4 linked regions of the Struthio camelus genome follow. The protein of the gene in region 2 interacts with the protein of the main gene of each other region in a pairwise test. Links are inferred from orthologs where the notes say so. Each region holds a gene or a part of one and is shown on either strand. Other genes may lie near its edges.

Region 1 (7,060 bases), on a different chromosome or scaffold from region 2:
TTCCCGTAACTTCTGTGATTTGCCCAGTCCATAAATTTGACAAAAACGAGAATATACATCTCGTGTCTTAGGGAGCTGAAGCACCATAGAACAAGAGGCATCATTCCTTAAAGAGAGCGAAACAGAAGGATGCATCAGTGAAATAGCCTCTACTTTCTGTCTTACTCTCTCAAATTCCAAGATTGGATCCATACACTTCCTCCTCACTGGTAACTGATGGAACAGATTGCACACAGTCACTGTAGTTCCTCCACTTGGTCTGCTCAGTTCAGCTTCACAGACTTCCAACGCTTGCCCATTGTGAAACAGTTTCACAAAAGTTTTTGCTGTCCTATTGGTCTTAGATGAAACTTCCACTATGCTGGCCATGTTTGCTATGCTTGCCACAGCCTCCCCTCTAAAGCCATAGAATTTCAGGTTCTCTAAGTCTTCCACTGAGCTGCATTTACTAGTGAAGTACCGTCTTCCCATTTTATTTAAGTCTTCTCTCCCCATCCCAGAACCATTGTCCACCACCTGGATCTTAAAAGCTTCCAAATCCACCCTGACAGCTATGCATGTTGCTTTGGCATCAATGCTATTGAGGACAAGCTCCTCAACACACTGCCCCAGTGAGCTGATAGTCACTCCAGAACGCAGCCTGGCTCGCACATCTTCTACCAGACGTTTGATCATGTCAAAACTGGGCAGATGACAAAGTCAAGAAACTGCAGCAAGCTCACTCATCCATATTTGTCAAAACAATTCCCTGGGTGAAAAAAAAAAAAAAAAAGAAAAGAAAGAAAGAAAGAAGGAAAGAAAAATTAAAATTATGGGCATGAAAGATCTCTTATTTATTGTACTCACCCTCATAAATACATTTTTGTTTGTTTTTCTGGTACTCAAAGGCTTTTCTATGACTACTTTCCTGCTCCAGGACTGACTACACATCAGCTGGTGCCTTCTGGGTAAAAGGCCAAAACCAGAATCTATGCTCCTTAGTAGCTACACACTTGTTTCCCGAATTTATCATCCCTAAAAGAAAATCCAACCACAATGAGGCCAAACTCAACTGACCTGCAAGCAAAAGGCTTCTGTTTCCCTCTGTATCAAAGATATGTACTGAGTATCACCAGGAATCAGGCTTGAAAGCTGCTTTCCTCTCATATTTACCTCAGATCTCCTCACATACATTCATGATGTCTCATTCTGGCCAGAGAGTATCTGCTGCTATTTGTCCAAGGGAAGAAAAGCTGGCTCAAGAACGGAGGTGGGATACTAAGCTGTTTATATAAACGAGATCCCAATAATTTCCCGGCTTTTCTTTGACGACTACTGGTTTCTTAGGGGTATGCAAGGGAATACACGATTTTTCCTTGCCCCCCACACGCAGGGCTCCCCTCGCAGTCTAGTAAGCGCTGCTCACCCTCGTTGGCGCTCTCCCCCTCCTGCAAAGCCCGAGGCGGGTTTCCAAGGGCAGAGGAGGGCAGCGGCGCCCCGTGCCCACACTCGTTAGCGCCGCGGCGCGCGGGTGCCGCGGGCGGGCACGACGGTCAGCCCGCTTTCCCCTCCCCGCCAGGGACTCTGCCCCCCGCGAGCCCAGAAGCGCGAAGCGAGGCCCTGGCAGGCAGGGGGCGAAGGGCGGTGACGGCCCACTGACAGACGGGCCCGGCAGCAGAGCAGGCCCCGCTCCCCCGGCGCCTCCCCGCACCGCGCCGCTCCCCCCCTCAGCGCCCGCCGGCCTGGAGGCTGCGCGGCCCCGCAACGGCCGCGGCGCGAGACCAACCGTCGCGGGCTCCGCGGCGCGCACGCGGCTCCTGCGGCAGGGCAGCGCCGCGCCGGCTGACGGCCCGCGCGGGCACACGCACCGCGCCTGCGCGCCAGAGGTCTTGGGAAGGGCGGAAACGGCACGAGGACTACGATGCCCATCACACCTTGCGCCTCGCGGGCGGTGCATGCTGGGAGCTGTAGTTTCCGGGGCCGTGCTGCCATATTGCCGGCTGTTTCTCACCCAGGCCGGAGCAGGGCGCTGGCCGGGTGGGTCACCCAGGGAGGGGGCCGTGTAACGTCACTCCGTGGGGACCAGCTTTTCCTCGCGGGTGGAGGCAGGCTGGAGCACCCTACCTGTGCGAGTGGGGGGTGGGCGGTGGTCACTGTGGTTGCAGTCCCCATCCTGCTCCACAGTTCACTGGGAATGGGGTGGGGAGGGAAGCAGCTGACTCTGGGCTAGCCTCCCGCACGCGCCACCAGTTTGGGAGGTCGCCAGGTCTCAGGTCAGAGATGGCTCACATAAGGAAGGGCTCAGGGACTGTGTATTCTGGTTGGCTCACTTCATTGAAAATAGCACAAGGGTTCATGTGTTAGCGTAACTGAGTGAGCAACTGAAACACAGCATGATTCCATACAGACAGGTATCAACAAAGGGAACACATCACCCCTAAAGATCCACCATCCATTCAGCCCCACTACGACACATCCATTCAACACAAAACGCAAGTTCCAAGCCCTTTTATTTGAAAGAAAAAATAAATAAATTTCTTACCAGGTAGAGAACAAAATTAACTGTTTCTGAGACATTCAGATCACAAAAAATGATGCAAAATATCCTTTTAGCAATATTTAATATTGGTATCACTTCTACAACTTCCCTGAAGTGAGCAGAACACTGCACAAATTATTTTACCCATGTACAACTACTCAAACTCATTGTGCACATACATTCAGAAGAGGTTGTGCTTCTAAACAGCCCCTTTAATAAATACAACTCTTCAGTCTGCCTGTCAAAATATCATGAATGGTCGAGAGTTAGATAAAATTAGACAAACAGTGTAACAAACCAATAAATTAGAAGAGTAATAAAATAAAATTCTCTGTGGTTGAATATTAGCTGATAACAAATGGAGAAGAAGAAACTATTCTGTGAGGGTGGCTCATGCTTCAAATCTTGGTGCTCTCTGGACAAAGCTACTTCAAAATCACAAAATCCTTGTGCTCCAGCGCATCAATCTTCTTCTCGTTGCGGAACTCCGCTCGGCTGATGCAGGACTGGGGGCTTCCTGTCTTTCTCAGCCATTCCTGGAGTTTCCGTACGTTGGCCGTTGGACCCTGAAGTTGTCCTTGCACAGTGCCATGGCTAGTATTTTTGACCCAACCAACCAGTCCTAGTCTCCGTCCCTCAGCCTGAGAAGAAAACGTAGAGCACGGTGAAGGTGAACTACACAATGCCGCTCACACACAGGAGTTAGTTTTATAGACAAGACACAGAGCTCCAGGGAAGCTCCCACGGGTCAGACAGAAGGAAAGCAGCAGAGGAGTCATCCGCTACTCATTATATTCCTTCACATGAAAAACAGGGGCTGAAACATACTTCAGTCATGCTTACATAACGCAGCGCAAAGTCACCCGCAGCACACAGTACTGAGAGCTGCAGTGAGGAGCACGAGCCAGGACTGCGGCAGCCACTCAGCCAAGCTCTTTTGGCTCAGCTCCCACCGAGTCGCTGATAGGCGACGCAAAGGCCTCACTAGAGCCCCGCGCGCCCCCGGGGACAGGGCGTCCTTCAAGAGGGGGACGCTCCGCCGGAGGGCCGGCCCGCCCCGAGGCGCACCTGGGTGTACTTGCGGAAGAAAACGCCCTGCACCTTGCCGAACACCTCGTAGTCCACGGACATCAAGCCCTCGCCCGCCGCCATGGCCGCCCCGCCGCCGCCTCCTGCCGCCGCCGCTACCGCCTCCTGCCGCCGCGGCGCCTGCGCGACGCTGCCCGCGGCCGGGGGCGGGGCCACCCTCGCGCCCGGCGGCCAATGGCGAGCGGGGCCGCGCGCGGGGGAGGGGTTGCCCTGCCCACCTCTAACCACCTTATGAATAATGCATGAGCGTGCTCCCCTCCCACCGGATCGCCTCCGCTCAACGGCCGCTGCCTGGGCATAGAGGGGGAGTCTTCCAGGGAGCAGAGTGGTCCCGCACCGCGGTACACAACTTCCGCCCGCTGCGCCGAGTGGAAGAGAAGCCTCTCGGGAGAACCATAGAGAGACCGCTACCCGGTGAGAGCGGCACAGGAAATAGCATTAGCGTGCCTGTCTCTAGGCAACAGTGGTCAACACAACGTCCGACGCCCGGGGCGGCGGTAAGAGGGGGGGGGGCTCGAGGCGCCCGGCCCAGCCGTCCCTCCGTGACCGGGCAGCCCCCGGCACGGTGTGCGCCTCGGCTGCGGCAGTGCGGGCGCAGGAACGAGGTCAGCGGCGGGGCCGCGTCCCGGAGGCACCCAGCCCGGCGGAGGGCAGCGGGCAGAGCTCGGCCCTGCCCCGGTGGGAGGGGGCAAGGGCCGCTGATGGCGGGGGGGAAAGGAGCTGCTGCTCTGCGCGGGGGCCACCCGGTTTTGCCAGCCCCCGGGTGCTGGTCTTAAAAGCGAGCCAAAAGAGCTCGGTCGGCTGTGGATTTGTCCGAGCCGCCGTGCCGTGAACTCCGCCACGCGGGTGGGGCGGGCCGGCGGCTTCGGCTGCAGCCGTTAGTTAAAGCGGCGCGTCCCCGCCCGCCGCGGGGCCGCGGCCGCGAGCGAGCCGGGCCCCGCCCCGCCCGCTGCGGCCGCGCGCCATTGGCTCGGCCGCGGCTGCCGTCACAATGCTGCCGCGCCTATCAGCTGCTCGTGGGAGCGCGGCGTGCGGGCAGTGGCCGGCGCCCTTCTGGCCGCCTGCAGTAAAGGGGCACGGCGCTCCTCGTCCCCTGTACAGTATTTGCTGAGATTGCAGGCGTCTATGTGTGTGGGGGGGGGAGAGAGGGGGTTTAAGCTGTATTTATAGTTATGGCGGCTTTGCGCGGGTATCTGAAACTTACTCTTCAGGAAATACCAGGTAATAGAATGAGCCGCAGAAGAATTGGACTGAGCTTTACAGGATGTCTGTATTCCAGGCCTGTGTACCACACTGACAGAGATGCAGTGGCAAAACTGAAGGGACATGTGGGAAATGCCCTGAGAGATATAACAGTTTCCCTGACATTATAGCATATTTCTGTTGCTACAATGATGAGACAGCGCACAGACAGAGACAGAAATAAAGGCAGACCTTATCTCTAGCTGCATAGGACTGGAAGAGGCAGCATAGGAGCCCCTTAGGTGGAAGGAAGGTAAAGAGTTATGGAACCCAGAAAAGTTACAAAAACTTTGCTAGTATTTATTATAGCCTCCAGCTGTAGATTGTTGGGAGGGAATTTTTCCAGTTTTAGATAAGATAGTGTGTAATGATTGCGCTTCTAACCTCGGGCTGTTTCTCAGGCGCTGGATGGCTGAGCTGCAGTTGGCTTTGTTTCCACCTGTGGATTCTGTGGTGGCAGCTCCCAAGTTTCCAGTGACAGGAAGATACGATTCTGAAGTCCCAGTCCGCCAATCCCAGCTGGAACACTCGAAGAGCACCTTTCATCACAAACTCCTACGTGACAAAGAGGAAAGTTTAAAGGATCTCTACACTGAAAAAAGCCGAAGCTATTCGGCTTCGAAGTATTCTCTTTCAGCAGAAAGCAGTCAACACAGCTCCAGACAGGAAGGCTTCTGTTTAGCTGGACTCCAGAGCAAATATCTCACCAGCCAGGCCAAGACTCTGCCATCTAAATCAATAGCCAGACGGAGAGAAGGGGTGGACCGTTCATATCCCCTGAAACCAATCTTTCACCGCAAGGCTGGAAGTGTTCCAGTGGTTAACAGAGGGCAACTCAGAAGTCCCCCATACATGGAGGAATCTCTAAGTAGTCGGCCTAGTTCAAAGAGCAAAGGGAAGCCTGCAGTAGGGAGATCTCAGCTAGCTGCAGTGCTGTCTCCTTGGACAGCAGAACCAAAACAGTCAGCCTCACCCCTATACAGGAGAGAGCTGGCCTACATCCTAAGGCTGGAGGCAGATGGACGGAATCTGGAAGAGGAAATCCGAAAGAAAGAGGCCCTCCTCAGAGAGAAGCTGAGGAGAACAAAGGAGGAGCTTAGGAGGATTCAAAGAGAGAAGGAGCTAGTGGAGGCAGAGGAGAGAAGAGCCAGAGAAGCAGAGAGGACCACTGAGCGAAAGGCCACAAGGCACTCTGAAGAGAACGTTTACAGAGTGGCAGTCAGGCCTGGTGATGGGGACTTTGAGAGGGCGCAGTCTCCAGAGGTCACTAGGTCCAAGCCAGGCACCAGCCTCCATCCCCAAGAGCTAGCTATGGGGAAACTCAAGAAGGAACGTTTGGTGGCCAGCAATAGCAAAATACGAGACCGCTTATCTGGAGAGGATTTAGCCTCTTGCTCAGAGCCAGTCTCAAAACAGAGCCCTTCTCCCTCTGCCTTCTCAGACCAAGAATCTGGTGACCACTTAGCCACAGAGATGTTGTACATACAGGCTGCCAGTGCTGGGGAACTAGGACAGTGCAGCTTCTGCGGACGTAAGTTTCTCTGCACCAGGCTCGAGAAGCACGCAAATATCTGCAGCAAGAGCCAAGGCTCTAAGAGGAAGGTGTTTGACTCGAGCAAGGCTAGAGCCAGGGGCACAGAGCTGGAACAGTATCGGCAGTGGAAGAGCTCAGAGAGCCCTCAGGTAATGTGCAGCCCTTTTTCCACCCTCAATCTGCGTGTACTGCTCATGTTTCTCCCACCTGGAGATAGAATTCTGACTGAGATGTGAGGTCCTTCCCATGTAGACAGGGCTGGGGGATACAATCCAGCCATCCCCTCTGAGAGGCACCTGCCAAGCAGGTAAATGGAAGGAGCTGCAGCTCCTGCCCCAGCTGCAGGGAGGGGGGATCTTATTGGACTTGTCTTTGCAATGTGTAAGGGTGTACTCCCAGAGAAAACTCACTCGTCGCTGGAGTCAAGATGCTCCTGTCAGAGGGCAGGGTGGCTGTGCTGCAATGAAACAGAGACCGGTGGCATTAGCAGGGTGCAGGGAACCGGTTGAAAATCCAGGTAATATAACAGACTATTAAAGTGAAGGCAGTGAAAAAATGCAGCCTTGTTCCTACAGAGCATCTTCCTCAAGTTCCCTGGCCCTTGTTCTTCTGGGTATTCCCAAGCTTTTCCTAAGGATTGATGGAAATATCAATAAATCCTTCAAATCCTCCTTAGT
Region 2 (7,182 bases):
TCTTCCTCTCTGTTTCAATCCTCAGAACATTGTTCGGGCAGTCTTGGCCAGAAAGGCAGCAAGAGGAGTGTGAAAGAGCTAGCAGTGCTCAGCAGTGCCTCTGCTGCTCCCAAACCCCAGGCCATGAAGTTCTTATGCTGATTACCTGCAAAGTCCAGGACCCCTCCCTGTGGCCTGGCCCTCCCAGGGGCCCAAACTCAGGTGCCAAAATTTGCCCTTCTCTGAGACCACCCCCATCACATCCCTCCAGCTCCTTCCTTGAGGTGAGGGGACTGATCTTCCCCTTTTCCTCTGCTTCATACAAGGGAAGGAGTGCAGAGCCTTCAACCCTGAGCTTGTTCCCAGCCTTCTGCTGCCCCATGTCCAACCTGATCCCCCCTAAAACTGGCCAAACACCTCCCAGTTCCCATCCCTGGGGTCCTGGCGTTGTCCTGGATTACACGTACCTTCCCTCTGCTCAGCTCTGTATGTTTTTGTAGCAGATGGATTATTGCTGTTCCCTCTCAGCCCCTCTGTAATCTGCGCCGGGGTGTCGAGTGCTAACAGATGGGTGATGCTAAGAAATAACATGCTTTTAATAAATCTTTTAGTTTAAAACCAGAGGGGTGCGGGGAGACGTGTGGATGTTGCTTCTGGCCTCCTTGCCTCCGCCTCACGCAGGAAGCAATGGTTGGGTATCAGCTCCCACCTAAGCGGGCCCTGGACAGGCCTTTGCTCCCCTGAGAGCTGCCGCAGGGGGGATCTCGGCCCTGCCCAGCCCATCGTGGCTTCCCATCTTCACGTTGGTGGCTCCCTTAAGTGGCTTTTGCCCCTCTGTTGTGCCTTGGAAGGGACAGGTGGTTTGCTCCATGTCCTGTGGAGTGGGTGAGGGGAGACATAGGCCGCTTGCCACTATGCTTGATGGCTGCGGAGAGCTGTTCTGCACCACTTTCCCCCTGCAAAAACCCCCTCCTGCCATTCCTGTCTACCCATCCCTACTCTTGCCCTAGGGGCTCCCTTATCTCTAGCTCTGGCCAGCTGCCAACCCCAGCATCTCTGCCTGGGCACTGCGGCTCTCCCCTCTGCACCGTGGTGATTCCCTGCCCTTCTGTGCTACATTGGGTACCGCACTGGGGCCTGAAGCCATCAAGGACCTGCCTTGGGCTGCTCCAGTGGCCTGTGAACGGGGCAGCCCACTGTTAGCTGCTTTCCTCTCCTTCCAGCCCTGGCAGAGGACGAAATGACGCTGGATCCTATTTTTCTAGCCAGAGCTTGGTCCCTGGGTGCCACGATGCATCTGGGTCCCTGTGACCCGCGTTGAAGGCGACTTCCTCCCACAAAGCCTCGGAGCCGGCCAAACTGCCGAACGGGTGCAGGGAAGAGGGATGCAAGGTCTGAGCCGGGCTGGGGCGCTCAGCGCACTCCCCCGTGCCCTGGCCCCTGCGCTCCTGCCGCAAGCTGGCCCCGGGTGTGCGGTGGAGCTGCTTGCAAGCTACTCCCCTGGGGCTTGGGGGTGACCGGCTCCTCCTGACCTACTTCGCTTGCCCAGCTCTGGCGCGGAGAGCTGCCTTGCAGCAGTGGGTGCTCGCCTTTGTATTCTTGGAGGCTGGAAGCTTATAATTAAAACTTCCAGCTTTCTCCTCTTCATTTGTCTCATTAAGAGGAGGCTGGGGGTGGGGGGAGAGCCCAGATCTGCCTCCCCACAGCCGCTGGGAGTGACAGCTTTTTGCAAAAGGCGTCAATGCTTTGATCCTGGCTGCGTAGGAGCCAGGAGAAAATAAGTATCAGGGGAGATTAGCGGAGACTTCCTCAGTGCCCCGAAGATCCGGCGCCCGCCTTGCCTCCCTGCACCAAGCAGCCCTCCCTCCATGCTGGTGCGGTGGCGGCGAGAGCGAGGGCTGCAGGTTCCCCAGGCCGCATGTCCCTTTGGCTTCAGGACAGGGTGCTCTCGTGCTGAAATTCGGCTCGAGGTACCTAGGGACCCTGCTGGGTGGTTTTACGTCCATTAGAGCGTGAGACCCCAAGCTAGCCTCACGGATGAGGAGCTTTGATGGGGAGTGAGTTGCTGTGATTTAATTCCTGCTTCTGGTTCCCGAGGGCTGCAGCCCCCCTGCACAAGGTCTGGTGGCAGGACCCAGGCGTCCTGGCGTGCCAGTATGGGTGCTGGCCCCCGGGAGCATCCTGCATCCAGCCCCGCTCCTGTCCCCGCTGCAGCCTCTGCTGGGAAGCCGGCCACCAATGCTGGCTTCCCGATCTCAGCGCCGTCCCCTGCTCTGCCCTGCCAGGACCATGGGCTGCCAGGCTGGAAGGATGAGATTGTCCTCTCCGGCCACAGCCATGGGACATAGTCCCCAGGGACACGGCCACAGGACATAGCCCAGGACATGGCGGCAGCAGGCAGCCTGGGGCAGCCAGCCCATCCCTGGTGGCCAGGCCACGGCCCACCAGCAGCTCTCGGCACCAGTGTGGACAGGGAGCCTTTCCCGGCCATCGGCTGCCACCTAGCTGCCAGCCAGCGAGGCCTGTCCCCGTCACTGCAGCGTCCCCACGAGTGCACAAGAGACCCTGCTGTCCCCCATCAATGTGCCTGGGGTCAGCCACCCTCGGTGGCTCTGTCCCAGCCACCTCTCAGGGCTCCTGCTGGCCGCTGCTCCCCCTAAGCCACCATGCGTGTCCCCAAAGCCTCCTCGCCCCTTGCTCTGCTCCCCAATCCCCACCAGCCTGGAGGGGCCAGATACCGCCCAGGATGTCCCCCACCATGCTGCGACTCGGAGGGGACGTGGCTCCCGGTGGCCATGTGCCCATCGCCCCCCAAATCCTGCCCAGCAACCGCAAGCTGGGGAAAACCCCGGGATCCGGCCTCATTGTGCTGCCCCGAGTTTACCGGTGGTGAGCAGCTCTGCGTCCCCGCGCCAGCCTGGCATAAAGGCACCCTCATTGCTATGCCGGAGTGGTCGGGTCCCCTCGGCGCCCCTGTTCCCGGGCGCCGCTCGCTGCCCCACAGTGCACAAAGCCCCTTTCACACAACTCTGGCGCTCTCCACGCTGGGAAAGCCTCTGGCCCTCGGCCACGTGCCTGGGGGCCGGGAGGCGAGCCAGGGCTGTGGGGGCCCCAGCCCCTCCTTACGTTCCCGCAATTGGAAAAGGGGACAAATAACCCCGACTTGGTGCACAGATGAGCACCCTGCGGGGATGGGGCCGCCCTGTCGCCGGCGGTGCTGACAGATCCCCATGGTACCCGGGGCTTTGCCCTGGCCGTGCACACGCGTGTGCCCGCTCAGAGCAGTGTGATGGCGGAGGTGCTGGCGTCTCGGCATACCCCCCGCCCCAGGATGGTGGGTTTAACGAAGGGCTCCCCCGTTAGCCATCCTCGGGGCCTCGGGGCAGCAGAAGCAGGGATCCCAGCGGGCTGCCTGCTCTCTTGAAATCTCAAATTCTGCCTTTTTTTTTTTTTTTTTTTTTGCTAGGATAGGACATGAAGCCCCAAAGTTTCCCGTGCTCCCCCATTGCTGCACCGAGCTGGGAATGGGACCCAGGAGTCCTGGCCAGGGCTATGAGTTTGCGCTGCTCTTGCAGACCCGCTGGGGTGGAACCAGCTTTGGAGGGTTCCAATAGACACTTAATTAAAAGTCTATCTTAATTAGCTTCTTCTCCGCATGGCCAAACTTCCTTCAAACCTGCCTGAATGGGGCTGGCAGCCACGTATGTGCACGTGTGTGTATGCAGGGACAGGCATGCATGTACATAGCTGTGCATGCACATATGTGCGCACATGTACATGGAGGGAGAGACATGCATGCGCACAGCTGTGCGTGCACACGTGTGTGGGGGCACAGGCATGCATGTGCACAGCTGTATGAGCACATATGGCCGGCAGTTTCGTGGCAACTTTCGACCCCTGGGCACGGCTACACCTGAGCCCCTTGCAGCGGCACCCAGCTGCAGCGTGCACGTGGGCTTGCGGGGCCGTGGCACTGCTCTGCCTGCAGCACCCCGGGGGCTCCATCTGCCTGGCTCCCGCGGGTACCCGCAGAGCCCCAGTGGGGCCGGTGGAGCTGCTGGGCCGTGCCGCGGCGCTTGGGCAGGGTGCCAGCCTGCGTCCCTCCCCGCCAGGCACCACAAAGGCCGGGATTTGTGCTCGCCTCAGTGCCTGCTGGCCCCCCCGCCAGCCCCTCTGCATAAAACCCCCTGGCCGGGCCCCGCGCAGCCACCCCGCGCCATGGAGAGCCAGCGGCTGTCCTCCTACGGGCGCCGCTTCGGCCCCGCAGGCACCGTCGCCGCCCCGGCACCCCGGGCTGTCCCTGTGCGCTGGGGGCCCCCCGTCAGCTCCCCAGCCCGGCTCGCCACTGCCCGGGCCAGGAGCGTCCACCTTGGCCTCCGCTCCGGCTCCCGCCTGGGGCCAAGCAAGATGGACTTCTCGTTGGCTGACGCACTCAACTCGGAGTTCAGGGAGACGCGCACCAATGAGAAGGTGGAGATGATGGAGCTCAATGACCGCTTCGCCAGCTACATTGAGAAGGTCCGGCTCCTGGAGCAGCAGAACAAGGTGCTGGTGGTGGAGCTCAATCAGGCGCGGGACCAGGAGCCTTCGCGGCTGGCCGATGTCTACCAGGAGGAGCTGCGCGACCTGCGGCGCCATGTGGAGCAGCTCGCCACCGCCAAGGCCCGCCTGGAGATCGAGCGGGACAACCTTGCTGAGGACCTCGGTGGCCTCCGGCAAAAGTAAGGTGTTGCCCTGCTCGGAGTAGCCCTGGGGGGCAGGGTGGCCCCAGGCACAGGGGGGATGATGGGAACCAGGGGGGTGATGGGGACAAAGGTGGTCATCAAGATGAGGGTGGTGAGGGGATCAGGGTGGCCTTGGGGATGAGGGTAACCACTAGAACCAGGATTGTGATGGAGACCAGGGTTGTCCCAGGGACCAGGGCTGCCCCTAGGACTGAGATCAAGGTGGCCACCAGGATGAGTGTGTCCCTGGGGACCAGGGTGGGGATGGGGACCAGGGTGACCCTAAGGACCTGTGTGATAATGGGGACCAGGATGGCCCCAGGGAGTAGGGTGGTCACTGGGATGGGGATCAGGGTGACCACGGGGACCAGGGTGGTGATGGGGACCAGGATGACCCTGGGGACCATGGTGGTGATGGGAACCAGGCTGCCCCTGAGGAAGACCATGGTGTCCACCAAGGGATGTGGGATGAGCTGGGATTTTACGGGGCTCCGGGCACACACATGGAGGGGACACAGGGTGCAGTACGCAAGCTGGAGTACCCAGACACCTGGGTCCCATTGTGGGACACAGCGCTAGCCCACTGCAATGGGGCCAACCTCCAAGTCTGACTATTTCTAACTGAGCTGCATCGTGGGTGCTCGGCCCTATGTGTACACACAGGTGTGTCTGCTGGGTGCGGGTGTGCGTGCGGCTGGAAGCAGCACTGGTTTGGGTGTGTGCTAGCAGCTGAGGCTGGGGCCATGCATGCATGACCATGTCCATGTGTGCACAGCCATGCCTGTATCTCTCCATGCGTGTTTGTGTCCATGTCCAGGCATGCATGTCCATCCATGCACAGCTGTGCCCATGCCCGTGCATGTGTGTCTGTGTCCATGCATGCATGTCCATGTCAGTGTCTGTGCATGCATGGCTGTGTCCATGTCTGTGCATGCATGTCTGTGCATCCACGGCTGTGTCCACGCATGCATGTCCGTGTCCATGCGTGTCTGTGCATGTGTGTCTGTGCACGCATGGCCGTGTCCATGTCCGTGCATGCGTGGCGGTGGCTATGGCCAGGCTTGGCTCCAGGAAATGCGAGGCAGCGGGGGGGAGCGGGGGGGGGGGTCTGAAACCTCCCTGAAAACCCAAGGGGAAGTTCTGCGGGACACATGCACCCTGCAGCAGCCTCTGGGGTCCCTGGGCAAGGCCATGCATGCCTGGGGACCCCCGTGTAAGGGCCATGTGTGACACGGTGAGCTGGGTCTGCGCAGGTGGTGCGGCACGGCCGAGGCCGGGCCCTCGTGCCCGCCGGTGTGAGCGGGAGGATGTGAGGCTGGTGCGTGTCCAGCCTGATGGGGGGTGGGGGGGGGGGGGACCCAGGGACATGCATGTGGCATGGGGGGCCATGGGGAACACGTGCCCGGGGAGGGGTGGCGGGGAGTGTGGGGCCGTGCACATGCACTGACACAGGTGCCGGGGCCAGCGTTGGCGGCGGGGCTGGCCGAGGGGCCAAGGTGCACGTGGCCACCATGACTGGTGAGTGACGGTGCCTAACGAGTAACAGTACATAACACGTAGCAATGTGTAGCCAGTAACAGTGCCTAATGAGCACCGGTGCAAAGTGAGTACCAGTGCCTAACGAGCAGCAGCACCTAATGAGCGATGGTGCCTAATGAGCGAGGCTGTGTGAGGAGTAACGGTGGGTCTCCCTGCGGGTGCAGGCTCCAGGACGAGGTGACCCTGCGGCTGGAGGCCGAGAGCACCCTGGCTGCCTACAGGCAGGTGAGGGCAGGGGCCGAATCCTGCCCCCCAGCCCCGGGGAGCGGGGCAGGGGCGAGGGGTGGGCTGGGACAGACTGCATGGGGCAGGGACCAGCTGGGACATTCAGGATGGGCAGGGGACAGGCAGAGATGGGCAGGGGACGGTCTGGGACGCGCAGAGACAAGCAGGACTGGGCTGGGGAGGGCAGGGGACAGGCAGGGCAAGAGGCAAGGGTGGACAGGGATGGCCTGGGACACTCAGGGACAGGCAGGGATGGTCTGGGGTGCTCAGGCATGGACTGGGAAGGGCAGGGATGGTCTGTGACACTTGGGGACAGGCAGGGACAGGCAAGGCTAGAGGCAGGGAGGGCAGGGACAGCCTGGGACACTCGGGGATGGGCCGGGACAGGCAGGGATGGTCCGTGACACTTGGGAACAGGCAGGACTGGGCAGGAGGGAGCCAGTAGGTGCTGGGCTGGGCTGGGGCAGGGCCATTGCTGGGACAGGCAGGATCAGGCCAGGATCCTCAGGGCCAGCTCAGCAGGGACAGGTGAGGCATCACACTGTCTCTCCTCTTCCTCCCTCCTGCGGCAGGACGTCGACGCTGCCGCATTGGCTCGCCTGGACCTGGAGCGCAGGGTCGGCTCCCTGCAGGAGGAGATCACCTTCCTGAGGAAGGTCCACGATGAGGTAGTGCCATGGCCAGGCAGCATGCGGGGCCAGGGGTGGAGCGGGGA
Region 3 (7,202 bases), on a different chromosome or scaffold from region 2:
CAGCAGTACCAGAGAAAGACAAACCCCAAAAGTTATTTCCCAAGGTATCTTTGGGCTGCTGTCTTCATATGCATATACTTGTGGTGACTGAAGAAAAATTTCAAGCAAGGTTGGCAAATTGCCACAGTGGTGGGCAAATACCAAAAGAGAAGGTAGATTGTTTGTAACAGATAATTTAAGTCAAACTGAACTAAGAACGGTATAGTCGGAGGGACCCCTGACTAGGTAAACTATAGTTTTACCAAAGATACCCACACCAGATTAAGTGGTTCTCAGTAACTGATCTGTAACTGTGTAACACCCTATTCTGGTTTTACAACTAAGGTTCCAAAAAAGCACTTCAGAGGACTTATCAGATCTTTCTAGAGCCAAATCTGGACAGGTCTAGCTTTCAGTTTTGTAAGTGATATGGTAGTAAAGCCTGGTTCCCATCAAAACAGTGAAAGAAGGAGATATCCTCTTGGCGCTCTGAAACTGCTCTTTTCCTACTGTGGGACATAAGTGCCCCTGGACCAGGCAGGACAAAGCCATGCACCAGGCCCTCTGGACTTCCAATAGTCCTGGCTGTAATCTACCCTAGCTACTTGCCTTCACCTCAATCATGCATCAGGTCAGCCTTCTGGACGTGTTGGTCTACAAACGAGTTAAGATCAAGAGGCCCCCCACAATGAAGCCCAACCTATCACAAAGACTTTCGCCTCCTAACTGCAGTCCCAAATCTGAGGCTAATAACAGCCATGCATAAGACGCTCTTTTTTGTCTTATCCCCTCTAGAGTTTTAATAAAACATGGGTGCCTGCCTACTTATCACAGATTTCCCTGTAATACTAAATTATAAAGGAATGTGCATGCACACAGAGATGTAAGTGATTGCAGCAGTATATCCATATAACTAACATACTATCTTAAATCTGCCTGTGTTTAAAAAAAAAAAAATGTGTGCGCACAAAACTAATCTGCCAAAGGAGGGAAATTAAAAGTTTTAATCCATTCTGTATCAACACAAAACATTTAGGCTGAGTAAGCCTGAGAATCATTCAAAAGACAGCAACTGTGAAAAGCCAAGCTACTTCCTCTGAGGCCTAAGACGCAGGCTATGCTCCCTCAGTTTCATAAAATTCAGTCATGTGCTGTGCAGCCTCACAATGGGAATACTGCCTGTGTTTATCTGAGTGTCAGTTTTGCTTCCTATTACAAGTTTAAAAAATTTTTTCTTTTCTCTTGTCACAATCCTAGAAAGCCAAAGAAAAGCTGAACTGCAATTTGCAAGCCCTTCTGCTCCGGTTTCCAAGCTTATGCCAACATCTTTCTCAACCTCCCCCTGTACCTCAGTTCAAGGCTTAGTTTGTTGGGTTTCTTTTAGTAGAGTATCACTTTCATAAAACATTGGCTTGTACAAATGACAAATGGGTTATCATTTTTGCTTCCCTATATCTAGAATTAAAAAAACAAAAACCCAAGAGTTCTATACTGGCTTGAAACAGAAAGCTTTTTGCCATAGTGATCATTATTACTCTTAATCACCTTGTGAAGTTTTAGAATTTTGAAGGGAACTCAGAGGGCTTACAAATTTCATACCTCAAGATATATGTATTCTGTAACTACAGAGAGAACAGGTTCATGTACCAATTTGTCAAAAGCTGCAACTTAATTTTTCTTTCCTTTTTAAATCAAAATAATAAAAAAGTGTAATGTCAATCAAGTAGAAATAAAAGCAAACCTTGCAAAAATCAACATTCCACGTTTATCTAATTATTTATGGAACTCTGCAGTATTAAGGTGAATCAATAGACTATCACAGTCCAATGATCAAACTCCCAGACTAATATAACACATTATTACCACTCACAAAGTCAGCACTAGGAGGAATTTCCGTAAGGGTTGCCCTAGGAGAATTTAAGGCATTGACAATATCCTTCATCTTCAATTCCCTACCCAGTGATCTAGCTACAAAAGCACATGGATAATGAATAGCACCACTTACTTTGGAATATAAATGCCTACCTGATTTAAGCGTCCATTAGCTACCTCTTCCTTACACCTTGCTGTCACTAAACACACAGTTGGGAAGATTCTTATTCCATCATCCTCTTTAAAGGGACACACTGTTTCCATGGGCTTAAAAGAAGGTGTGACAGTTAAATCATATAAGGGCAGATTTAAATACCACCATTAACACCAGCGAATCTGACTTGATTAGTGACAAGTTGTGGTTTAACTTTAGGAAATCATTATAGGGCTCTGTTGGGAATCTCTCATATGCACATACAAATGAAAAGCAATAAATAATGGCATAGCTTCCAGAAAAAGCAAAACAAGAAGGGAGCAGAGTTTGAGTTAGTGCTTAACTTCTTGGGACCTTGCTATTTATCATATGGATTCAAATAATGTGGAGCTTACTGGCACACACACAACTTTCCTCTGGCCATAGGCCGGCTTCCCCAGTCACCTAAATCTTTAAATTCTCTCTACTGTGGATGGCCTGCCTGAGGAAGCAGATTCACGTAACTTCAGCTATGCCCATGGCTAACAGAATTTTGTTTCCTTTTCCACAGCTTTTACTTCTTCAGAAGGGGTGTCCTGCTGGCTCCGCTTCAGAACCGAATTCAGCATTTCTGGATAAGTTAAGCAGGCCCAGATGTCGCCATGTCACTTAGGACGATCTTCCACAAAAAGTGGGTATTTTAGAAAGTTTGAGTGTCGTCTTCCAGTTGAAATCAGGGACATAAGCTCTGCCATCATCAAAACTTGCTCTTACAACCAAGCCAATGTTATTTCCATGTTTGCATTTTAAGGAGATTTATTCTGCTCTTAGTACTTAGGCATAGGTTTCGGGTAGGGTCAGTCGCTTGTTTGGAGATTTTCACCAAAGAAATTGAAGAATTATAGAAGCTTATAATGAACTCTGCTGGCCTGTGTAGCTTATTAGAATTTATTTTTGTAGTAAATAATTTTCTCATATTAAAATTATCTTGGGTTCAACTAATATCTAGATTTATATTCCTCACAACGCTTATAGTAACTGTTTTCAAGGTTTACCCAGGAACAAGGCTGCATTCTGCATTTACGTAGCGCCTAGCATAGCGGCAATTGTTTCCTTCCTGTGGCAACAAACACAAGCCTTACAAAGCCACAGAGGTGACAATAACTAATGAAGAGCAGCCATTATCCACCCCCATACATTTCTATAAGCATCATATAAGCCACATCAGAGCAGCACACAATAATTCCCTCAATACAAAGGCAATTATAAAGCGACCAAGAAGATGGAAACGTCTACAGGCAGCCTGCATATAAATCACATCTTTGCCTTCAAGCCTACATTCAGACTTTCCATTACGATCACTGATCTCAGAGAGGTAAGTGAATGCTGTTCCAGTTCAAGTCCTTCCGGTAGCAAGACGAGATGCATCCAGTAGGAAATCTGAAGCAAAAGTTAGATCCCTGGCATATGAAAAAAAGTCACAATGGATCTCCTGGCTTCAGTGAAGCATTTATATTTGCTGAGGTTAATGCAAACTAACCTCCTCCCCCGCAACATCTGTTCACACCAAGCTTAGGTCAAAGAAATGTTATTATAGCATCTCTACTGACAAAGTGAAATAAAATACTCAATAATAAAGAGGTGATACAGAAACCAGGGAAATTTCCTGGATTGGTTACAGATTTTTTGAGGGGTGTAGGAAGGGAACTGGAAATGGGAAGGGAAAGAGATTCAGACCTGTTTGCTGTCTAAGTCTTAGGTCTGTATACTTCCTGTCTCATAGAGCTGTACTTTTGGAGGAGCAGTATGTGCTTTCTGTAGTGATTACATAAGCATCTGTTCCTCAAGCTCCTTAAAGGAAACAGTGGAGTAGATTTCTTTTTTTTAAATACAAATATTTCCAAAGCTTAGAAAAACTAACATACACTGCTGTCAAATTCAGAAATTCATCTCCAAAGGGCAAGAAACGCACTTGCAACTGAGATCTAAGTAACTTACTCTGTTCATTCATAGATCAGAAAAAGCAATTTTATAAGCTTACATATCCGAGGAAACGAAAAGCATCAGGTGCTGCATGGATTTGGAAAAGCTAGACTGGTAGATTAAGAAAGATATATATATATTATATATATATATATATATGTTACAAACGTCTCAGCATCTTGCATGTACAAAAACTTTTGATTGATACAGCAATTAAAATGCAGAACTGAAGAAATTTATGTCCTGAAAACACCCAATATAAGGAACTGCAAAGAAAAATCTTCCCACATTACCAGTGCCCGAGGGAAAAAGAGAATTCCAAAGGCATTGCCACTTGAGTAACTTTTAATCCAATCAAGTTCTGTTGCTGTTATCCGAATAGTTTTGCAGACAGGCAGATTTCTGTGCATGCTCACAGATATATACACACAGGTATACATCCATTTATTACGGACAAACACATTCCTCCATTGAGGAACCTACTCAACTCACAAAACTCCTAATTTATAAGGCCTTCAAATTTTTTCTTCAATACAAAATTCCAGTTTTTAAACATTGAGTTCAGCCTGACATGGCAGCAAAAGAAGCTGCACAAACATCACAATTAACTCTATTAAAAATTCAGCATTCAAAAGCTCAACTCATAATCAATACAAAATCCTTACTGAAGAACTAAAGAAGAAAGCACTCATTTGCAGTTTATGTTCTCAAGCGAAAAGGACATTAGGGAAGATAATTCACTATTTGAAATATAAAAAGCAAAGCCTGAGGGAAGGGAACTGCCACTGTAATCCCCTGCCGACAGGTCTACCAAGAAGAAAAGGGCTGGCTTCCCTTGACCATAAAAGTTCCACTGGATAGCAGAGTACTTTTATTTGCCATAAACACTGGCTGATTAGGAACAGAACATGATTTAGGAGGACAGAAGGCCCAAAAGCTAAAAGGAGGGATATTGTCTCCTTCTCCTCCCTAGACCAGCAACGCCAACTCTGTTTGCTTCTCCTTTATTTCCCTGACTTTTTACCGTATCAGGATCACGCGGTCACCAGAAAAAGAAAGATGTACATACCCAAGCGGTAATTAAAGGATGACTGATGAATATTCATTTAGTAGATCAAGTGAACTTTGCCTCATATTTAAGCAGGATCTCAGCGAACTAAGTATTTCTATCATCAAAGCACTTGCTGTTTTGCCTAATAGTTGCCAAAGTGGGAAAACATCACTGGCAGAATAAGGGGCAAAGTGAGAAGGCTGTACTGATTTTTAACAGGCTGGATACAGGAACAAATACCAGACACCTTCACAGTACTGTGCTGAGGGAGTCCTTAAAACAGTCCAAGGCTCTGATTCATCATTCTTGTCGCATTTAGCTGGGACAGCTGAAGAGGCCACTGCCCCCTCCGATGAGGACAGTAGCTTCTTCAGTCACCATACCTCTACCTGACAGAGGCTATGAACTAGAGCCTTCAGACATCACAGTTCACAGTCATGTATACTAATATAAATTGAAAGCAATAGTACCTCCTGTTAATACATTGGGTTGTGGTGGCTTAGACCAGGCATACCACCGTTCTGTCACTCTCAGGTACAGGGGTATAATTATCTGCAGGGAGCTGGGGAGAATTTTTCAAATTGTCCCAGCTGGAGTCAGCAGAGGACGTTAATAAGAGTCCTTGCTTTCCCAATAGGCTGCATCCGAAAATTAATTTTCATTAATTAGTTTGTGTCATATGACTCCAAGAAAAGGACAGCACTACAAAGAGACAAGTGAGCTGATGGTCAGTGAGTATGCAGCAACCAAGGCAGGCAAGCAAAAATTATTTAGAAATGCCTCCTTACATGGGTTTTAAAGGGCATCCAGACCCATGCTCCCCGGCAAGAGAGTTCAGCTGCGATTAGCATAGTCACTATTATAAAGATTAAAGAGGGAATATTTCTACAGCAAAGCATGCACATAAACCTTTTGTCAAAAAAAATAACGCTGACAGTGATGCGTATCATTTGAGTAGCCAGCTTATTTTCAAAACTGAACAGGTGAAATGTATTCATGCAAATTTAGGTTTAGACCCTTGTAAAGCTTTGTTAACAAAAAAGGTATCCTTTATTCAACAAAGCTTTAGAGCTTTAAGCTTGTATTATAAACTTCAAAGATCTACTTCACAAATCTGTCATTAATAGCCATGTTTTCTACTCCTCTCATCCAGTGAAATGACCACAAAACCCGTTTCTTCACTACTGCCAACAGAAAACACACACAGACACACACAAACGCAGGTTACCAAAGAAAGTAGAAGTGATCCAGAGACTAGATAATACTTTTTTTTTTTTTTTTTTTTTTTTTTTTTAAAACTCACACATGAATCTGTATAAACTCTTCAGAGGTCAATAACAGTTACATACGAGCCATTATCTTGGCACCAATGGGCATTAGAGATCCACATGCTCCACTCACGTCTGTGTCTAAAACAGGGCCAAAAAGCAAACCTGACATCTGGACAGCACTTCTTGTAAAGAGTGGGACCTTGACAAATAGCTTTTATTTTGAAGTTAAGACTTATCAAAACTTGTGAATTTACTAAAGCCAGGGATCCTGGCAAGCTCCAAGAACACAGGCTCCTTTTTCCATTCACTAATGTGCTGAGGAAACCATGCGACCACTTACAGCTACTAGAAAATGTTTCTGTCTGGTGTAAATCTAAAACAAATATCTGAAACAGATGGCTCCTTTGGTAACACAGATAAGTAGGATAACTTTTTCTGACTGAACATCAGAAAGCTCTAGCAAAAAGAACGATGGAAAGGATTTTGCAAATGTTAGCATATAGGAAAATGCAAGGGGAGGAACAAAGGTCCTTACATTACCACAACTGGCTATAAAACGGGGACATCCTTTGCGGAGAATGGGCCCCATAAATCTAGTCCCTGTGCTAACAGAACCACACCACCTAAGTCACTGTGGCCAGCTCCGGCAGTATCAAAGTCCTGAGAATTTGGACGTCTTCCTAGAGATCTGTAGGCCGTGAAATGTTAGAGGTCAGGGGGTTTTTTTGCTTACGTTCCTCATTTTTGTAATTGTATGAATGTTTGAGAGCACAGTCCAAAAGGCTCAAGAACCATAAGAGTTGATATTTTAAGTTGCCTTTATTCGATTCCATTCTTAAGTAAATTTCACTTTTACGGGGGAAGGACAGAAGAGGTCCCTCAAGGGCTCACCAGCTTTGGATGCATTAGCACA
Region 4 (7,660 bases), on a different chromosome or scaffold from region 2:
TGCTGCATTTTTTTCTTTTTTCTCTCATACTCTTCAGCATGTTCCCATGAATTACTGATTTGTTCAAAAAGTTGAGTTCTTTCCTTTGGTTTCTTCATTGCAATTGACTCTACTGTTCCCTAAAACAAAATTGCCAAAATGCAACACGGCAGATTGTCACGTTGTATAATGATGAAATTCTTCTCAAGTGCATACAATGCATAGTTATTTCCTGATATTTTTTTAGTTAACAGAACTGACAGTTAATAGGTACAAGCCCAAGGAAAATTTCAGTAATGAAAGGAATACCAACTATCCACTACATGTAATTAATGATCCAACATCACCTTATAAAATAATTTTAAATCATTTTAAAACTTCAGATACTGACTATAAAAAACATCTTCAAAATCAGAATTCTATCTGAACAGATCAGTGAGCAGCATCAGAATGACAAAATTAAATCTCATTAGCCTCTTTAAAGGAACTAAAACTCATTTTCAATGCAAATAAAATTAACAAAAATCAGTATTTCAAGAGCGCATCTGCTGAAATCAATGGACTAGAAGATTCCATAACACAAAAGTTAATGGGAGTACAATTTCTGTCCATGCATTACCTGCTCAAACCTTGACCGACCTGAAGGAATTATCATTTTCAATAGCCTGCAGGAAATAAGTTTTGTGATCTTACTCTGTTCTTCTAGTGGCCAATGCCTTCATCATTAAAAAGTATTATCCCAACAAGAATCTATACATAGGGTTACTATAAAAGGAATGAAGTAGTTTTTCTTCGGGAATTTTAAGCTCACTGTTCTGTAAAGATAAAGAAGGTGATACTGTGAAGTATCTTCATCGTAAGCAATTGGCATTTTGGACCTGTATCTTTAAATACTTCTGAAGTAATAACCTAATAGGAATTTCAATTGCTAACTCTTGCTCTTTAACGATTTTTTGGATACATTTTTATGCCTCTTTCCTAATATGGGTGTTTTGAGATGAAATTACAATCTTTTCCCACTTTTAACAACCAGAGAAATTAAAACACTAAGCATTTAAAAATAAAGAAGCACATCATCTTATAAACTAAAGAACAGAAACAATTTCTTCTGGATTAGCTTCTTTCTTACCAATGCACTCATGCTCACACAAAAAACCTTTTAATTTCCATTTCACAATCTGCAGCTCTTAGCCAAGGTCAGGATAAAACTTTGCCTGTTAGCTTGAAACTAGCTAAGGGCATTCCCTTGTCAGTCAAGTAGATAACTGTCCATTCCTATGAAATAATCTCAGAAGCTTTTAATGTTCTTTACCAAGTACCTTAAATGCTCACCTGAAAAATAAGACAATTCCTGGCTTTGACAAGTATGCCTATTTTTTCAAGCTCGGATATGTAAACAGATCGGCTGACAGGTTTATCATTAAAAATATATTCTGAACAACTACCTAAAGAAGACAAAAAGTAATTACTATAAAATGGAAAAATCATACTAAGTAGCTGATCAATGTTACTTAAAAAAAAAAAAAGCGTTTTTCAAATGACTATATAAATGACTTTTAAATACACTTCTTAGCTTATGGTATCGCAGCACACGTGTAATTCAGAACATGCACATAACATGATACCTCTGGTCTGACACAAGGACATGAGAGGAAGCAGGTCTGACCCTGCAGCCCGTGGGAAGGTGTTAGAGGGCGTGTAAGTAATGCACGGCTGTAACACAAAATCCATGGGAAAGCAGTCACTAGTTCTGCTCTCAACTAAGCAACTCCCTCAAGAAAAAAAAAAAAAAAACAATGAAAACCCTTGCTCATTTCAGCAGCTTCATCTTTCTGTATTAAAATTCTAGCTGCATATTTCCAAAAGATATCAGCAGCTGCTTAAGTGCCTGTGCCTGAAGCAAAAGTTTCAGAATGGAATACCCCAGTCTCCAGAGCCTACGCTATCCACACATTCCAACAGCGAAAAATCTATAGATGATCAAAGTACAGAGCAAAAACATATATTAATCATTTGGTTAACTTTTAACTTTGCCCATAGTATGCTTTATTTTTGAATTATAACACTGCTTAAAGACTTTAAAAAGTGTTTCAAGATTCAACAGGCTTAACCTACCTAATACCAAAAAATACTATGCATTTGAACTGAAAGCTAAAGATTCTCAGTCTCCATTTTTGTACATCAGACCACAGAAAACATGTGCGACAGAATCTACTACCTACCACGGATAACTCTTGAAAATGTTTTTTCTTCCCCATTTTCTTCACAATACACTATTTTTACACTTGCTGTAGAAGAGACCGGTTTTCCAACATGTGCTCCATGAATAAGTTCTCGAACATTTTTAACTCGCAAGTTAGATATCTTTTCACACAGCACAAAACTAACAGCATCCATTATGTTAGATTTGCCTAAAAAAAAGTTTTGTCATGGCAGAAAGGAAATGAGGAATTTGATTAACAATTAAGAGAACATACATGTAACTGGGAGTCTTTAACATTCCATTTATACATTATATATTCCCTTCAGGAAAAAATATTTCACACCGTAAAGAAATCTATTTCTAAGATATAATGTAAAACAGATAACCAGCCTGTTTGTAATAGAAACGATCACAAAACTGATTTGTTATTAAATCCCAGACTCAGTATGGTAGATCAGATTTCATATAGGCACGTCTAGAGGTTATTAAATAAACTGAACTGACAGCATCATAATCCTCACTTGATAGTTTCCTTTGTATAATGTAGTGAGTGAGGTCTGTTGCATAAACATCGCAACCTTAGAACTGTTCCACAAGAACTCGGGTTCTTATGAACACAAGTACCTTCCCAGATCCATACACCACAGCACTAAAGTTTTCTAATAATGCTATTTTATAAAAGTTCTCTTTATTGAACCCTTTTTCCTTTTTCCCCTTTTGATCTTTGGCATTTCTGATGACAGCTTAATTATTTTGTCTTCAACTTTCGTACTTTTGCAGTATTTTGTCTCATTCTGCAAAGAATCAGAAAAGGAAGACTACTCGGGGGGGAAATTAATTCAGAGATTACAGAATATTCACACTTTTTTTTTTTTTGATTCATCTATATAATTTATTCAGATTTAACTGGAGAAGTACCTGGAAAAATAACCACAATTCTGAGACTTCCCAATATGGGGCAGTTAGGATGGAACAGGATGATACACAATATGACAATAATGCTAACTGACTGTAGCTAGCTATTTCCATTCATGTATCTCATTAGATTAGAAAAGTGAAGAAACAGGATCTAAATCATTAACAGATTGTGTAACTAAGCCCAAACACTAAGCTCATCCTTGAGGCTCTTCCTTGGGACAGCCCCTAACTCCCATCCCATTGTTCTTTGGCAACTAAAAGAAAAATCACATTTGTTGAACGAAGCCTTCATTAGAAGTGAATCAGTTTTTAATCAAAGTTCCAGCACCCAGAGCATGACAATGCTGAGTTACATCAACAAGAGAAGGCTCTTTGGCCTAAACTACAATATCCAAAGTAGCTAGCATTCCAAAGCTGCTTCATCTCCCCCCCCCCCCCCCCCCACAGGCATTTACGTTTAAGGCAAGGACTACACATTCACTCAAGAAGCAGCTTTCCACTACTACAGTTTACAACCCAGCATATTAAAGTGAAACCATCTTTATGTAACTTTAACAAGCTGAGCTACAAACTGGGGTGGCCAAAAAGTGGTGGGCTGTTTTCAAACTGCTCATTCTACAGGGCTAGGAAAATAAAGGGTAAAACCGGGAACGGAAATTTCTTCAGCCACACCACTTCAGCCTTCTGTGCTGGAAGATCAATACCGTCAGTTAAAGAAGCAATGTAGATCAGGAACATGCAAAACTTTGTTTGTGCTACCATCCCCTCAGGTGCCTGTGAACTGATTTCAACAAGGCCTATGAGAGTCTTCAGTCCCCCTCAGTCAAGCTTTGCAACTCTACTCAGCAGACAAGCTGTCTCCATCCATTCAGTACAGCCATGATAGCCTTCTCCTTCACCTGAGTGGCTGCGCCTGGGCAGCTACTGCTTCCTCCTTGTTAGGCCAGTGGTTTTCACAGAAAGGACCTGGTAGGCCCCAAAACTGAGATACAGGCTGGCAGGGCACCAGAAACTTCAATCCCAGCAGCTACAGAAGAGAAGCAGAGCCCGCAGCTGCTCGCTGTTCCCTCCCACCTATATCCTTAGCCTGCTACCTGATCCGTTGGGCCCAATGATGCAGTTGAACCTCATGAAGGGACCGATAACCTGCAGCCCCCGCCACGACTTGAAATCCTTCATCTCCAGCAGTTTCAGGTAACCCATTCCTGCGGCAGTGGGTGAGGGGCAGCCGAGACCGTTAGCCTTTGAACTTCCCGCCTTGCACGAAGTTTAAACACCCAGCGAGTATTTTTTTTTACTGATTTGCCCTGCGGAACAGGGGGGGAAGAGAAGAGCCTCGCGGAGCGCGGGAGGGGAACTGGGGCGAGCGCAGCCGTATGCCCGCCCCACCGCTGCCCGCCGCCGCCGCCGCCTCTCCCTTCCAGGAGCGACGCGAGAGCCCGCCAACGGCGCGTCGTCAACGGCCGCCCGCCTCGTGCCTGCAGCCACGCGGCCTCGCGCGATTGGCCGGTGGAAGCGCGCGCGCGGAGCAAGAGGGCGGGGGCTGCCGTTCCCATAGCGACCCGTGTGTTGTGGTTCCCGTGGGCGGCCGTTGGTGCTCGTGCTTTGCCCAGGCCGTTGCCCGTGCGGCCCGTCTCGGCGCCATGCACAAGCTGGGGCTACAGCGAGACCTGCAGGAGGCGGCCGCCCTGGAGCGGCGGCGGCAGCGGGAGCTGCAGCGGCAGAGCCGCATCTTCAACGCCCGCGACCGGACTATTGGGGTGAGGGCGCCGAGGGAGCCGCCGTCCGGGCTGTGGCGGAGCGAGGAGGCGAGAGCGGTGGTGCCGCCGCCCTGCTCCGACGTGCCCTGAGGAGACCGATCCAAAGCGGGGGCCGCCCTGAGCAGCGCCCCGGGACCGAGGCGGCCGGGCCCGGCTCCTGGGGGAGGATGGGCACGGCAGGCGCCCCCCTCAGCGCCACCTCGGTGACTGCTGTGGCAGGCGGGGGCCAGGCTGGGGTGGGAGACGGGCAGGCACCCCCCCCCCCCTTGCTTGAGGGGAGTGGTGCCTTTTTAAAAGGTCGCTGGTGAAAGCGTGTCTATATTGTCTAGGCATCATCAAGAGGTTTTTTTTTTTTTTTTGGCGGTTATCGCGTGTAAGGGGGACTTGGTCTGGCTCACTGCTGTGGGGCTCAAGGGCATGGTTTGATTTCTCCTTAAAAGGAGAAAAAAATCAAGCCCTCTGTTTCAGCCTATGTGTAGGAGTGAACTTTGTGGAGCATGTTTTACTTCGGGGTAAGCCAGAAGCCTGCAGAGTCAGCAAACACAATGAGGAATAAAACAATAAATGATTTTTATCACTCTGCTGTACTGATACATCTCTCAACTGTTTGATCCTCACTAGAAAATAGGATCACTGCTGTGAGACACCTGTTCCTGGAAGGGATCCTGCAACTGCTCCCTATTTTGTATCAGGCAAAATCTGACAGATTTGTTCAGGCTGCTTTTATGAATATAAAACTACTGGTTATGATTTTGCCCAGAATGGATGTCAGAGTGTGAATGCCATTCAGCCTGCAAGGATCTAGTCAAGTAGGACTAATTTTAGAATTTGTGAAAATAAGTCCAGTCTGTTCACTTCCTTGGGCTGGTAGGATAGCAACGTGTCAGTTTGATCCATCTGGTAGTAGGTGTTGCAACATGTCTCAGTATGTCAGTGGAAGGATATCTTTACCTCATTTGCAGCAGAGCCTTGGATTTATTCCTGTGACTTCTGCAAGTCGTCTTAGTTGCATAGCAAAGTAGCAGTTCCTGCTTCATGAGCTGGACAGATTATCTACCTGATAACAGAATCCTGACATGTGTGATAGCCAACAGTACACTTAAGTGGAAGGAGTTAACATCTTTTAATGGATGTGGGATGGGTATAGTAAGGTTCAACTTTATCCTCAGGAAACACACAGTTTCTCTGTAGGATATATTTCCTAGAGCCTTAAAAATTAAATGTAAAATATAAATTCTCTACTTTATTGAGCATTACTGATTTAGACCATCTGAAAATCATTCCCAAACACTTATGTAGAAGTAGCTTATCAGACAGGTTTTGATGAATCTATTCCCATTGAGACAAATATCTTAAAAAGTGTCCATTAGAGGAATTTTATAAATATTTTGATTAAAATCATTAAATATACGGTATTCTGCGGCTGTATCGTGACTACTAACAGAAGGGGCTATCTTGTGCTTGGAAATTAAGTCAAGTCCAAAGCATGGAGAGTCAACAAATCAATACAAAGATATACTATATCTGTATTTCAGATGTGCTTTTAGAGTCTGCCTTCTCTTCTGTTTTTGTTGGGAGGGGGGAGGGAGGTTGCTTTTGGTTTTAGTTTTTTGTTTCCAGTTTAGCTGAGTGCCTGTCACTGACACAATTCAAAAATCATGCATTAGAAATGCACCACAGATTCTTCAGGGGAAGCTACTGTTTATAAACTACTTCAGGGAGTAGTTTATAAACATGGAGATCGTATACTGCCTGGAAAGCAGATTGGGAACTGAGAGGCTTTATTCTTTTCTTGACTATTAGTAGTTACCTTGACTACTGTATCTGTTTTCTCATCTGAGAAATGGAAAAATAATCTAGAGAAACTTAGAAAGTAGTCTAAGATATAGCTCCTTTCATTTACAGATTTAAGAATTTATTCTCACTGAAATCAGTAATTTCCCAAAAGAGTTCAAATGAATAGTCCAAATGAAAAATGACTCTCCATTTATATATGAATTATTATACATAAAGACAAGCAGATTAGTAGTTAGTCAGCTGCTTTAAATGTTCATCGTAAGGAATTCCTTACTTTAGTGCCATTAGCATCTCTCATTGAGTCTTAACATTGCTAATGTTTCAGCTATCCTTAGGCAAGGTATGGTCAAATGCTCAAGTTAAATATGTAACTGTGTGTGGCTAGGAATGGTCCTTCTATGGATGCATTCCCATCTATTGAAAGCTAGGACAGAGAGAACAGGAAAGAGCTGATAGTGTAACTCTGAATTTGTACATGCTAGTCAGTGTATTTACTTGCCTGTATTATTCCCAGAATCTACTAATGGAGACACAAAAACATTCTCTTAATACTATTTCCCATAATTCTGTTGAGAGCTTAGTTTCTCAAATGAGGCCTCTGAATGAGTTCACGTTTGATGTCTTCTGTAGCATTGGTTTTAGACTTATTGCAGTACAAAGGTATAGTGTAGGCTTCTTCATGGTTTTACCCTTGCCTACACTTTATAGATCTACCTCTTGACCTGATTGGTATAGTCAGTAGTCCATTACAGCATTAACAGTGTGATCTGTTTAGGTCATTCTCCCTTGATCTGAATAGGGAATAACCATTTTAGCACTATCAAAATATTTTATCGAGTTGTTGAAGAATTGTCACTTTTTTGTAAATTTTTTTGTAATTATTTTAAAGAGATTAGGTGACTTGACCAGCAAAAAAAAAAAAATTAGAAATAAAATCTTGATTTCTGCATGTTCGTTTGCTGCCTTCTGTTAACAAACACAGGGCTTAAGTCTGTTGTGTAAA

The links.
Region 1: the proteins of GFAP (region 2) and ZC2HC1C interact in binary tests that used the Homo sapiens proteins (3 or more experiments, as listed by UniProt). The link is inferred for Struthio camelus from reciprocal best matches to the Homo sapiens genes GFAP and ZC2HC1C.
Region 3: the proteins of GFAP (region 2) and PDZK1 interact in binary tests that used the Homo sapiens proteins (3 or more experiments, as listed by UniProt). The link is inferred for Struthio camelus from reciprocal best matches to the Homo sapiens genes GFAP and PDZK1.
Region 4: the proteins of GFAP (region 2) and RIBC2 interact in a two-hybrid assay, tested with the Homo sapiens proteins (2 studies listed by BioGRID and IntAct). The two-hybrid records come from large-scale screens. The link is inferred for Struthio camelus from reciprocal best matches to the Homo sapiens genes GFAP and RIBC2.

Annotation. Positions count from the first base shown.
Region 1 is NC_090946.1:57,870,181-57,877,240, forward strand, and holds the start of ZC2HC1C (zinc finger C2HC domain-containing protein 1C), read left to right. Parts: upstream 1-4,058; 5' UTR 4,059-4,104; intron 4,105-5,250; 5' UTR 5,251-5,257; coding exon 5,258-6,532; intron 6,533-7,060. Other genes in the region: DNA mismatch repair protein Mlh3, read right to left, coding at 1-675; ACYP1 (acylphosphatase-1), read right to left, coding at 2,944-3,159, 3,587-3,670.
Region 2 is NC_090966.1:709,038-716,219, forward strand, and holds the start of GFAP (glial fibrillary acidic protein), read left to right. Parts: upstream 1-4,178; 5' UTR 4,179-4,197; coding exon 4,198-4,700; intron 4,701-6,406; coding exon 6,407-6,467; intron 6,468-7,039; coding exon 7,040-7,135; intron 7,136-7,182.
Region 3 is NC_090942.1:106,741,948-106,749,149, reverse strand, and holds the start of PDZK1 (Na(+)/H(+) exchange regulatory cofactor NHE-RF3), read left to right. Parts: upstream 1-4,187; 5' UTR 4,188-7,202. UniProt on the Homo sapiens protein: A scaffold protein that connects plasma membrane proteins and regulatory components, regulating their surface expression in epithelial cells apical domains.
Region 4 is NC_090942.1:79,775,237-79,782,896, forward strand, and holds the start of RIBC2 (RIB43A-like with coiled-coils protein 2), read left to right. Parts: upstream 1-4,641; 5' UTR 4,642-4,743; coding exon 4,744-4,860; intron 4,861-7,660. Other genes in the region: SMC1B (structural maintenance of chromosomes protein 1B), read right to left, coding at 1-119, 1,312-1,420, 2,198-2,390, 4,195-4,303. UniProt on the Homo sapiens protein: Microtubule inner protein (MIP) part of the dynein-decorated doublet microtubules (DMTs) in cilia axoneme, which is required for motile cilia beating.